Linked DNA regions of Tribolium castaneum. The protein of the gene in region 3 purifies or fractionates together with the protein of the main gene of each other region. This does not show direct contact. Links are inferred from orthologs where the notes say so. Each region holds a gene or a part of one and is shown on either strand. Other genes may lie near its edges.

Region 1 (2,884 bases), on a different chromosome or scaffold from region 3:
GCGTTATTTAGTAAACTGACGAAATGCACCCCCGATTCGTAAGAATCGGCCATTTTACACCCACAAATGCATTCAAAAGGACACAAATCCTTACACAAATAACACAATCCACCACACAGGATTACTTGATGGCGACTTGATGTTTTGCACGAAATGCCGCGGCATCTAGCGGACGAAGAGCCGCAACGCGTGGCGCCCACATTTAAAATCCAACAGGAATAAATTTTAACACTTTTTCTAGTTTAGTGACCAACATCCCTATTTCCTTGAATATAAAGATTTAATAAACAAAAGATACGAAGCTGATAAAATACCCAAAATCAGGGCAATGTCGATAACAATCAAGATAAAATTTAACAATTTGCATTTGTTTTTGTTTATGTCTACCCGCAAATTCATTATGTATGCGGATATTTCGCCAAAATTATTCAATGGCAACAGGACGTGCTTTCACAAATTAATGTAACAAAAGAAATAAAACCTCAACTCATGTTAGATATTTTTTTTAACATTTGGGAGTTAAAAAGGTAAGAAATAAGACACGTTGTATAGAATTTGTACTTTTATATTATTAAAATAAGTTAAGTATTATCTCACTACCGCTAACAACTCAGTGCGAAGAACATCACAAATAACAGGAATGTATAACTAAATAACAAAAAATACGAAATATGACACAATAGAATACTTTTTTGATACATATGTACAGTTCCTAAAAAGAGAACGCAAAATTACTTGTTCAAGCCCAGATAAAGACCCAGACAGAGGGCTATTATGAAACAGGCACCAACAATGAACAAGATTATTTTCTGCTGAATGGACCTCATTATCATTGAGCTCATGAGGCGCGAAGACCGCCCCAACTCCTCGTCAGTCTCCCTCAACTAAAACAAAAAACATAATTCTTAATTCATAAATATTGAAGAAACTACTCTTGATCGCGTCCTTTTGATAGTCTCCCTTTGCTCGTTCAAATTCTGCAAAACCTGCGTCCCAATGTCCTGCGTTTCCAGCACCACTCTGTACCCCTCCTCCAGCTGCCGCCCCGTCCGCTCCATCCGCTCCGAGTTGTCCAAAAGCCTCTGCTTCTGATCGGACGAAATCCGCACATCGTTCAATTCTTCCGCGCTATCGTAGCTCAACGCGCCCTGTTTTATCGACCGCGCCTTGATGTATTCCAAAGTCAGCCGCTTGAGCTCAGCACGGTAGCAATCTAGCTTGGTCCTGCACCTTTGTCTTTTGGCCGATTCGACCTCCCTAACCTCCAATTCCATTTGTTCCAACTACGAATGAATAAATTAAGGCTAGACAGAGGGATATTAAAGACTTGCCAGTTCTTGCGCCTCCTCGACATGTTTCTCGATGTTGGAAATAAGTTGGCGGCGGTCCTCTGAAAAACAAATGAAGGCTTTTGACAGGTGAATCAAGGGAGGCTTACTTGTGGCCGAGGCACCCAGAAGGCCGATTTGGGCCGTGATATCGGCCGTGAGCACTGAATATTGCTGTTCATAGTTCTCAAAAAGTGAAACCATTTCTGATTTCGCAGTTTGTATCAAGAGAAATTTGACTTAGACATTTTTTTCGTAGATGGCGACGGCTGACTAGTGGTTTTGTGGGTTGGCAAGACTGCGCAAAATCTCCTCTTTGCTGGTGACATTTGACAGGTTAGTTGAAGTGTTTTCAGAAATTAAAAATCTGCCATCATCGGCCTAAATAATTGTTATTTTTTACTTAAATTTGTTAATTGTGGTTCGGTTTAGTTCATATTTATGTTTTCCAGTGGTAGTTTTTGCTAAAATTGGGTGTTTAGTTGCAGGCCAACATGGTGCAGCGGTTGGTGTTTAGACGACGATTGTCGTACAATACGAAATCAAACAGGCGACACATGTAAGTGCAGTAATTAATAGACTGATAAAAAAGTATAATGTAAGGTGGTAATATGAAAAATACACTTTACGGGTGCACAAAAGTACACTTGAGGTTAGGTCATGTCAACCTCTGTTGTCCCCTTCTACCCTTTGTATTCTGACTGTGAGACAAATGATGTTGTCTTTTCATTAGTATTTTCATTTAAGAAAAGATCAGTTAATTCATTTAACAAAAAACGAATAACTAATTTGTGTTTGTATGATAGGGTTCTTTCCATTATTTCTTACCCTATTTTGTTATCAAACTGTTCAAAAAAGCTGGTAGATTTGCGATTTCAACGTATGTTAAATTTTAATAGTTCTTGAAAAAAGTTACAGAATTGTTAATTGTTGCAGCAATAATTAAATACGTTTTCATTTGATAAAAATTTCATAATGACTGAAATTGAAATTTTGTATTGGTTTTTAGAAATTATATTTTTTTGTTGTTATAAGTGTATGCTAATTAATTGTACGTTTGAAGAGTTGCAAAATAAAGTCATTCATAAAATAAAAAATACGTGAATTTGTTAGTGTCGTAATAAATTTTCACGTCTGCCAAAAACTGTGTTTATTTTTAAATTATTCTGTGATCTGTCATCGAAATTAATTTTAATTAAATGTTTTGCGAGTCTAAAATAGTTGAAGGACCTTTTATATGATATAACAGAAAATTGGAAAAAATGAGGCAATTTTAGTTGTTAATCGTTTATTTAAAATACACCTGCAAAAAAGTTGACATCATACACTATGATGACTTTTGGCTAGAGTCCTGAAGTTAAGTGACGACAAACTCTTTCGTTCAATCTCTGACTGACTAAATTATATAAGGATTTTTTTTGTAAATTACATCACTTATCATTCTTTTATATTTCAGTGTTCGCACCCCTGGCGGTAGACTGGTATACCAATACCTAAAGAAGCCCAAGAAGATCCCGAGGTGCGGACAGTGCAAGGATAAACTCAGGGGTATCCTT
Region 2 (3,129 bases), on a different chromosome or scaffold from region 3:
GAGTATGGTCCGTTTCAGATCTTATTAGCAACAGCTGTCAGTTTTAAAAAATAATTTTCTCTTTGAATTATTGTTTTTTTTGGCTTTAAATTTGTCGTTGGGATTTTCTTTAACACAGAATCCTTTTCTTTTTTTGCAGAATCTCTAAATTTTTTTTTTAGTAAGACCTAATATGAGACATATCTACAAAAAGAATGCTCGAGTTGGCAAATCTAAATCTTTTTTTTAAGTGGTTCGACTAATGATAGCTTCTCCGTATCCAGTTGCTGAATAAGAAAATTCTTTAAATTTGTTACCAACTAAAACAATTATTCTTGATTTTTTTGTGTTTAATTCTTGAATTTTTTGAGACTTTTTAATACGTGATTAGATAAAAGACTAGAGGGAAAATAAAACAAGAGTATATTTTGTCTGCTTTATTCAAGTAACGATACCTTAACAATTACAAAATTATAAATTAACGAAGATAAACTACATAATTATAAAAGAATGTTTTTATCACTAATTTTGCGGAATCTTATTTACATAAAGATAAAACGGTACAGTGTTTAAGTAATGAATAAAGTAAAATATCTTAAAATTTTTATTTCTTAGCAATACAGCCCTGCCAGAGAAGCCCTCCGCAAGCCATGCAAACAATAAAATAAACAATCACAGTAATAATCACACCAATGATAACATAAAGCTTAACGTTTTTCCAAAACATGGAACGTGCCAGATTGCGACTTGTCTTCCTGAACGTCACAGACTGAAAAAAAGTTTCAGAAAAAAAAACAACTTTTTATTAAATACTCACCCCACTATTCAAATTTTCAGCTTTATTTACTAACAGTTCCAGCCTTTCTCCCCTCATCGCCACATTATCTTATCAATGAACGCAGTAATAAATATCACATACAAAATATTTATTCACACTCACCTATATTCTTGACCATAATATTTTTAAGTTCATCCAACTCTCCATGAACTCTTGAAATTGTATCCACATCATGGGATTCGGAATAATGTTTCATTTCGTTGGCTAGAACCCTGGAAAATTCAGAATTCATCGCATATGCAATCGCAGTCTGGATAGAGTCCCCATATTGGGACCTGAAACGCCTTTTAATTTCATTGAGAAATAAAAACGCCCGTGACCTCTCAAACTCCTGAAACAATGATGACAATACAACCAAGTATTTACGCGACATTCCACGTTACATCGTCAGTAATACACATGTAAATAACTTGGTTTTCACAAACATAGTGGAACAAATAGTTCCCGTGCGAGTACGTCAACTTATCATCATGTGGTGGTATTTTTCCGATGATCTGTTCAGTAACTTCAGCGAAATTCCCGGCGCAAGAGGCATATCGAACTAGAACGGTGCTTCCCCGAGATATTACACTATAAAGAATTGGCATCTATAATGAATAAACAATGTTAATTGATCCTAAACAGTTGGGACGTAATTACGTTTTATTTTTTCCGATTTACGTTGACACCTTCACATAAACGCCAAAAATGCCACACACGTAACAATGATAAAAACGCGCACAACGAACACAAATATCTTTGAATTAATTGGTATTATTATAAAAAATTGAGAACAATAACAAAAACGTCATGTGTCACACTGACGTTTGGTTTCAAAGTGCGCATGCGTCAGCGATGACTCAGTCGATGTTCTAAATACCACACCAGTGGCGTCCGTGCATTTTCAAAATTTCTCCAAAAAAATAATTTCATAGTAAAATTCGGCCACGATACCGAAAGTAACACCTTGGTTTAGTTTGAGTGAGATTTATTTGAATCAAATAAAACGTGTTACAAGCGTTGTTAGATGTTGTGGTTTTTGAAAATCGAGTGGCGCGTTGTCAAAGAATTCAAAAAATGTGGCCGAGCAAATAATTCCAATCATTTCAATTTCATGGCGCAAATTATGGAATTCCTGTTAAATTTATTGTTACTGCGTGGGAAGGTTTTAACCACAGCAGCGGCCGAGACACTCCACGAATATATCAAAAAATGTATGCACTTCAAGCGAAAAATTTCGACCGAATACAGCAACGCGACCCAAATAATCCCGTTTGAAAACATGTTGGAGTTTATCAACAACTCGAGCAAATACACCTGTGAGGGAGACGTTGTGACGAACGATCTCCGCTACTTGTACGAACACATAAACCGGGTAAAGCAAGAAAATGAGAAACATACACATACTGTTGCTTTGGTGCCGCAAACCGTTGATAAAAAATTGGAAGAGTTGCCGAAAAACCAAAATTTGAACACAGTCCCTGAATGGTTGCGCCGTGAACACACCAAAATTAACGAGTTTAAAGTGAAAAGTCAGGAACACATCATTGACAACTTGCACGCAATCCTCAAATCGCAAGAGTTTCTCTTCAAGAATATCATCAAACTGGTGAACATCCTCGAGAAGGATGCCCTCATCAACTCAAACAGCGAAAAACTGGACAAAATCAAGAGGAAACTTGTCGCATGCACTGATATTTTGTCAAACGCAGCCACTTCGCAACAATTCACAAGCCTCATCAATAAAATAATCGAAGAAGAGATCACGCGTTGTAGATTCAGGCACGGCGAAAGCAAAACCAGCGCTGAAATTAACTTAAAAGTGCCGAAACCTGAGGGAATCGAAGCTGCTTTGGACATGTCGCACAAGAACAACGACATCAGAAGAATGAAGAAACAACTAGCTGAGAAAATTGCAAAACCAAGCGTACAAAATAAACAGAATGAGCGTTTAAGGGGCCGTATTATTGACCTGGAAGTGAAAACAAACTCCGCCAAGTTACTAAAACGGGCGAGATCCGAGCCAGTTTTGAACGAAAACCGAAAATTGGAAACCATCTGGAAGAAAACACAGATTGAGATTGAAGAATCCAAAAAAGTGATACAAGTCAATGAAGACCGTTTCAAGAAATTTGAAAACACACTTTGGCACACCTTAACAACCATGAAATTTTTGTCGCTGAAAAGTGATTACGCAAATATGACTAAGTGTGCGTTCTATAATAAGAGACAGTTTGTGGCGACGGAAGCAACAATTTCGAAAAAAGTCCAAGGAGAGGAAAAGTTCGGCAAGTTTGTTAAGATAAGTAACTCCATGTTCCACATTACGGAAA
Region 3 (3,084 bases):
GCTTGCTGTTTCAGTCCTTCAGAAAGCCCTAGGCGGAGGCCCCAAAGTCAAGTGGGGGTCTGTAGACAATGGGGCCTTGAGTAAAGTTGTTGGAGGCGAAGGCGATGCCAAATACGCCCTCAATACGTTCAATGCCAGCTACAGTGATGCCGGGATTTTTGGTGTCTTGATTGCAGCACCGGAAGCCACAGCCGGGAAAATTGTGCAAGCAGCATTCAAATTGCTAAAAGCTGGGAATTTGACCGATGCGGATGTTAACAGAGGGAAGAATCAATTGAAAGCGGCGCTTCTTATTAAAAATGAGTCTGGTTCAAGCGCTATTGATTTTCTCGGAAGTCAGGCGGCTGTTTTGGGGTCGGCGAAATCGCCAAGTCAGGTGGTGGCAGAGATTGATTCAATCACAACAGCAGATGTCAATGCTGTAAGTTTATAAAAGCGAGTCTAGTTTTTGTTAACGTGTTTTTTTCAGGCTCTCAAGAAAGTTGCTTCAGGTAAACTATCAATAGCCTCCGTTGGCCAACTGCGCACCGTACCATTTTTAGATGAACTAAAGTAAACTTAAGTCGGCTTAATTTATGTTGTATAAATTCTGTTTTAAACTAAACTTATACATGTTAGAATATGTATTTGTTTATTTGTTTAATAAAATATAAATCACATTGTAAAAAAATTGTGTTCAAGCGTCAAATTGCTGCAACCACGATTATACTTATAAATAATAAAATAATAACAACCCAATAAACGCAAGTTTTATCTTTGGTTTCGACCACTGAAATGTGCTGCGTTTCAGTTCTAACTCTGGTGTCGGTTCGATCGATTTGGGTCCCCAAGTCATCCAATATTTCTGAAAAAATAAAAATCGTATGTTCTTTTTAAAGTAACTGAAGATAGTCCGTAATCATACCATTGTGTAAGTCTACTTCGTTTGAAATCGTGTGAGCGATATTTTTCTGTCGCGATATTATTTGGGCCAAATTATCGAGTCCTTGTTCTTGTTCTGAAATTAAATTTTAAAACACTCCTCAATGATTTTTAATAAGAATACCTCCCAGCATCCTTTTTTGATCTGCCTTTAACTGTTCAACTGAATAGTTGGATAATTCATCGCTACTGTGACTATCCCCCCAAGCAGAAGCCCCTGCCTCTCCCATGAGCCTCCTTCTATCCTCTTGCGCTTTACTTGACGCTTGGTTTTCGAACAAATTTTGCATTTTTATCGCATTTGAGTGTAAGATTTCTAACTGTCTTGTCCTTCGTTCAGACTCAGCCGCAGTGCTATAAATTATGAAATAAAGTCTCGGCAAAATTAAAACTAGGAGTTACATTGAATCCCTTCTGGTTGTTATGTCTAATTTTTGCTTTAATTGTCCAACTTCGTTATTGTATTGTTTTAGTCTCAAACGAATTGTTGCAGACAGATGGGAATACTTATCACTGGTTCTGGGAAGCTTCTGACGCTGCATTAGCTGTTCCATGATATCTCTGTACAATTTCTCACAGGATTCATATTCAACCAACCTAAGAAAGAATTTTTTAAATAAATTTACGTATTTACTTTGACCATACCAGGGATCCTCCCCTAAATTTAAAAGAGCCATTGTTGTGAATTGTCGTGATCAGATCACATCACACGTAAATAAAATATAATTAAAGCACCACAAATGATGTGACCGCGCAAACCACGTGATTGTTACACACCTATCTCAAATATATAAACATGTAACAAATACAACAATTAACTGCACCAATTTTTACTAAAACTACAAACGCGTGAATAATTAATTATTTATGTCAAACAGCCCCCATTATCAAATTTCTGACGTGGGGACATTCCACTTTGATATTGGTCTCACTGCTTGATAAGATTTATCATTCTACTGAAGAAAAAAAGAGTTTACTGATAACGAAAATTATTGACGATAAACCCACATGCTCGGTCTTGTTAATTCCCTTCAGTTTCTTCGACGTATTTGTGCAATAACGCCTCAAAATAAAAATTGATTTTTTTGGTAAATTTTCGTTTGCGGTTGGCAGTTTTGGAATTTAATTCTCAGTTGCCCAAATGTCAATTTGATGTGTATTTGTGAGTGGCAAAATCCTTTTTTATGTAATAACACGAACAATTGCGTTGGAAAATGAGTCGGAGGCATCACCACCACAATCTCCAGCCCTATGATTACGACCGCTTCAACGACCAACCGCGGGATCGAACCCGGGACCAGGCCAGAGCCATCGAATACCAAGACGACTCCTTGAGTTCCATAAACTCAGACGAAGAGTCGTACCTGCACCACACGAATAGAGACAAGAAGTCAAGCTTTTATTCGAAGGACAAGTCGAGCAAAAATGAGAAAAACAGCGAGCCCTACCACCCGAAGGAGCCCAAATCGCAGCCCCGGGACACCAAGACATCCGACTCCACGGTGGAGCGTTTGGAGCGTCTGGAGACCATGTTGGAGGAGTTCATGAAACGTAGTACTGTCCCAGCTCCCACACCAAGTGTCCTCGAGAAAGGGGCCGAGAAGCCGTTTTACGTGGAACCGCCCAGTGTTGTTGAGAAGAAGGGACCCAGTGATAGACTCGACAAGCAGTTTTATCTGGAGCCGCGACGACACACGTTCACCACGTCCATGTGGATCAACAAAATCCAGGAGATGTCGTTCCAGAACAACTGGGATGAGAAGACAACCATCCAGTATATGGTGTCTCAAATGTCCGGGACTGTGAAAGCGTGGTACAACAGCTTGCCCAACTATGACTACACTTGGCCTGAGTGGAAACTTTTGATTTGTAAGGTTTTCCCGGACAATACCGATTTTGTAACCACTTTGAAGAGATTAGTAACACGGTTGAAGCAAGCTGATGAGAGCATGACCACCTACTACTTCAGCAAAATGTACCTGATTGAAGCGTGCAAAATCACTGGAGAGGACGCAGTTTCGTGTTTAATAGACGGGTTGAACAACCAAACCATACAAATACAGGCAAAGGCTCAAAATTTTCTAACACCTGAAACACTATATTCGCAATTTTTGATGGTCCTGCCGGAGTATTCCGTCGACTATGCACCTTCTGGAGTTCCCA

What was found.
Region 1: the proteins of Syx8 (region 3) and Vti1a purify together in Homo sapiens (affinity purification with mass spectrometry; 3 studies listed by BioGRID and IntAct, with this or other methods). This does not show direct contact. The link is inferred for Tribolium castaneum from reciprocal best matches to the Homo sapiens genes STX8 and VTI1A.
Region 2: the proteins of Syx8 (region 3) and Vamp7 purify together in Homo sapiens (affinity purification with western blotting; 3 studies listed by BioGRID and IntAct, with this or other methods). This does not show direct contact. The link is inferred for Tribolium castaneum from reciprocal best matches to the Homo sapiens genes STX8 and VAMP7.

What each region holds. Positions count from the first base shown.
Region 1 is NC_087399.1:4,595,904-4,598,787, forward strand, and holds Vti1a (vesicle transport through interaction with t-SNAREs homolog 1A), read right to left. Parts: upstream 1,533-2,884; coding exon 1,332-1,532; intron 1,284-1,331; coding exon 933-1,283; intron 885-932; coding exon 732-884; 3' UTR 545-731; downstream 1-544. Other genes in the region: tkv (bone morphogenetic protein receptor type-1B), read right to left, coding at 1-53; large ribosomal subunit protein eL34, read left to right, coding at 1,823-1,887, 2,785-2,884. UniProt on the Homo sapiens protein: V-SNARE that mediates vesicle transport pathways through interactions with t-SNAREs on the target membrane. These interactions are proposed to mediate aspects of the specificity of vesicle trafficking and to promote fusion of the lipid bilayers.
Region 2 is NC_087402.1:8,581,262-8,584,390, reverse strand, and holds Vamp7 (vesicle-associated membrane protein 7), read right to left. Parts: upstream 1,649-3,129; 5' UTR 1,457-1,648; intron 1,405-1,456; coding exon 1,201-1,404; intron 1,149-1,200; coding exon 920-1,148; intron 865-919; coding exon 797-864; intron 749-796; coding exon 584-748; 3' UTR 571-583; downstream 1-570. Other genes in the region: uncharacterized protein LOC103312779, read left to right, coding at 1,923-3,129. UniProt on the Homo sapiens protein: Involved in the targeting and/or fusion of transport vesicles to their target membrane during transport of proteins from the early endosome to the lysosome. Required for heterotypic fusion of late endosomes with lysosomes and homotypic lysosomal fusion.
Region 3 is NC_087394.1:35,393,369-35,396,452, reverse strand, and holds Syx8 (syntaxin-8), read right to left. Parts: upstream 1,879-3,084; 5' UTR 1,599-1,878; coding exon 1,567-1,598; intron 1,519-1,566; coding exon 1,324-1,518; intron 1,276-1,323; coding exon 1,046-1,275; intron 998-1,045; coding exon 905-997; intron 845-904; coding exon 684-844; 3' UTR 615-683; downstream 1-614. Other genes in the region: cytochrome b-c1 complex subunit 2, mitochondrial, read left to right, coding at 1-421, 470-556; uncharacterized protein LOC103312255, read left to right, coding at 2,136-3,084. UniProt on the Homo sapiens protein: Vesicle trafficking protein that functions in the early secretory pathway, possibly by mediating retrograde transport from cis-Golgi membranes to the ER.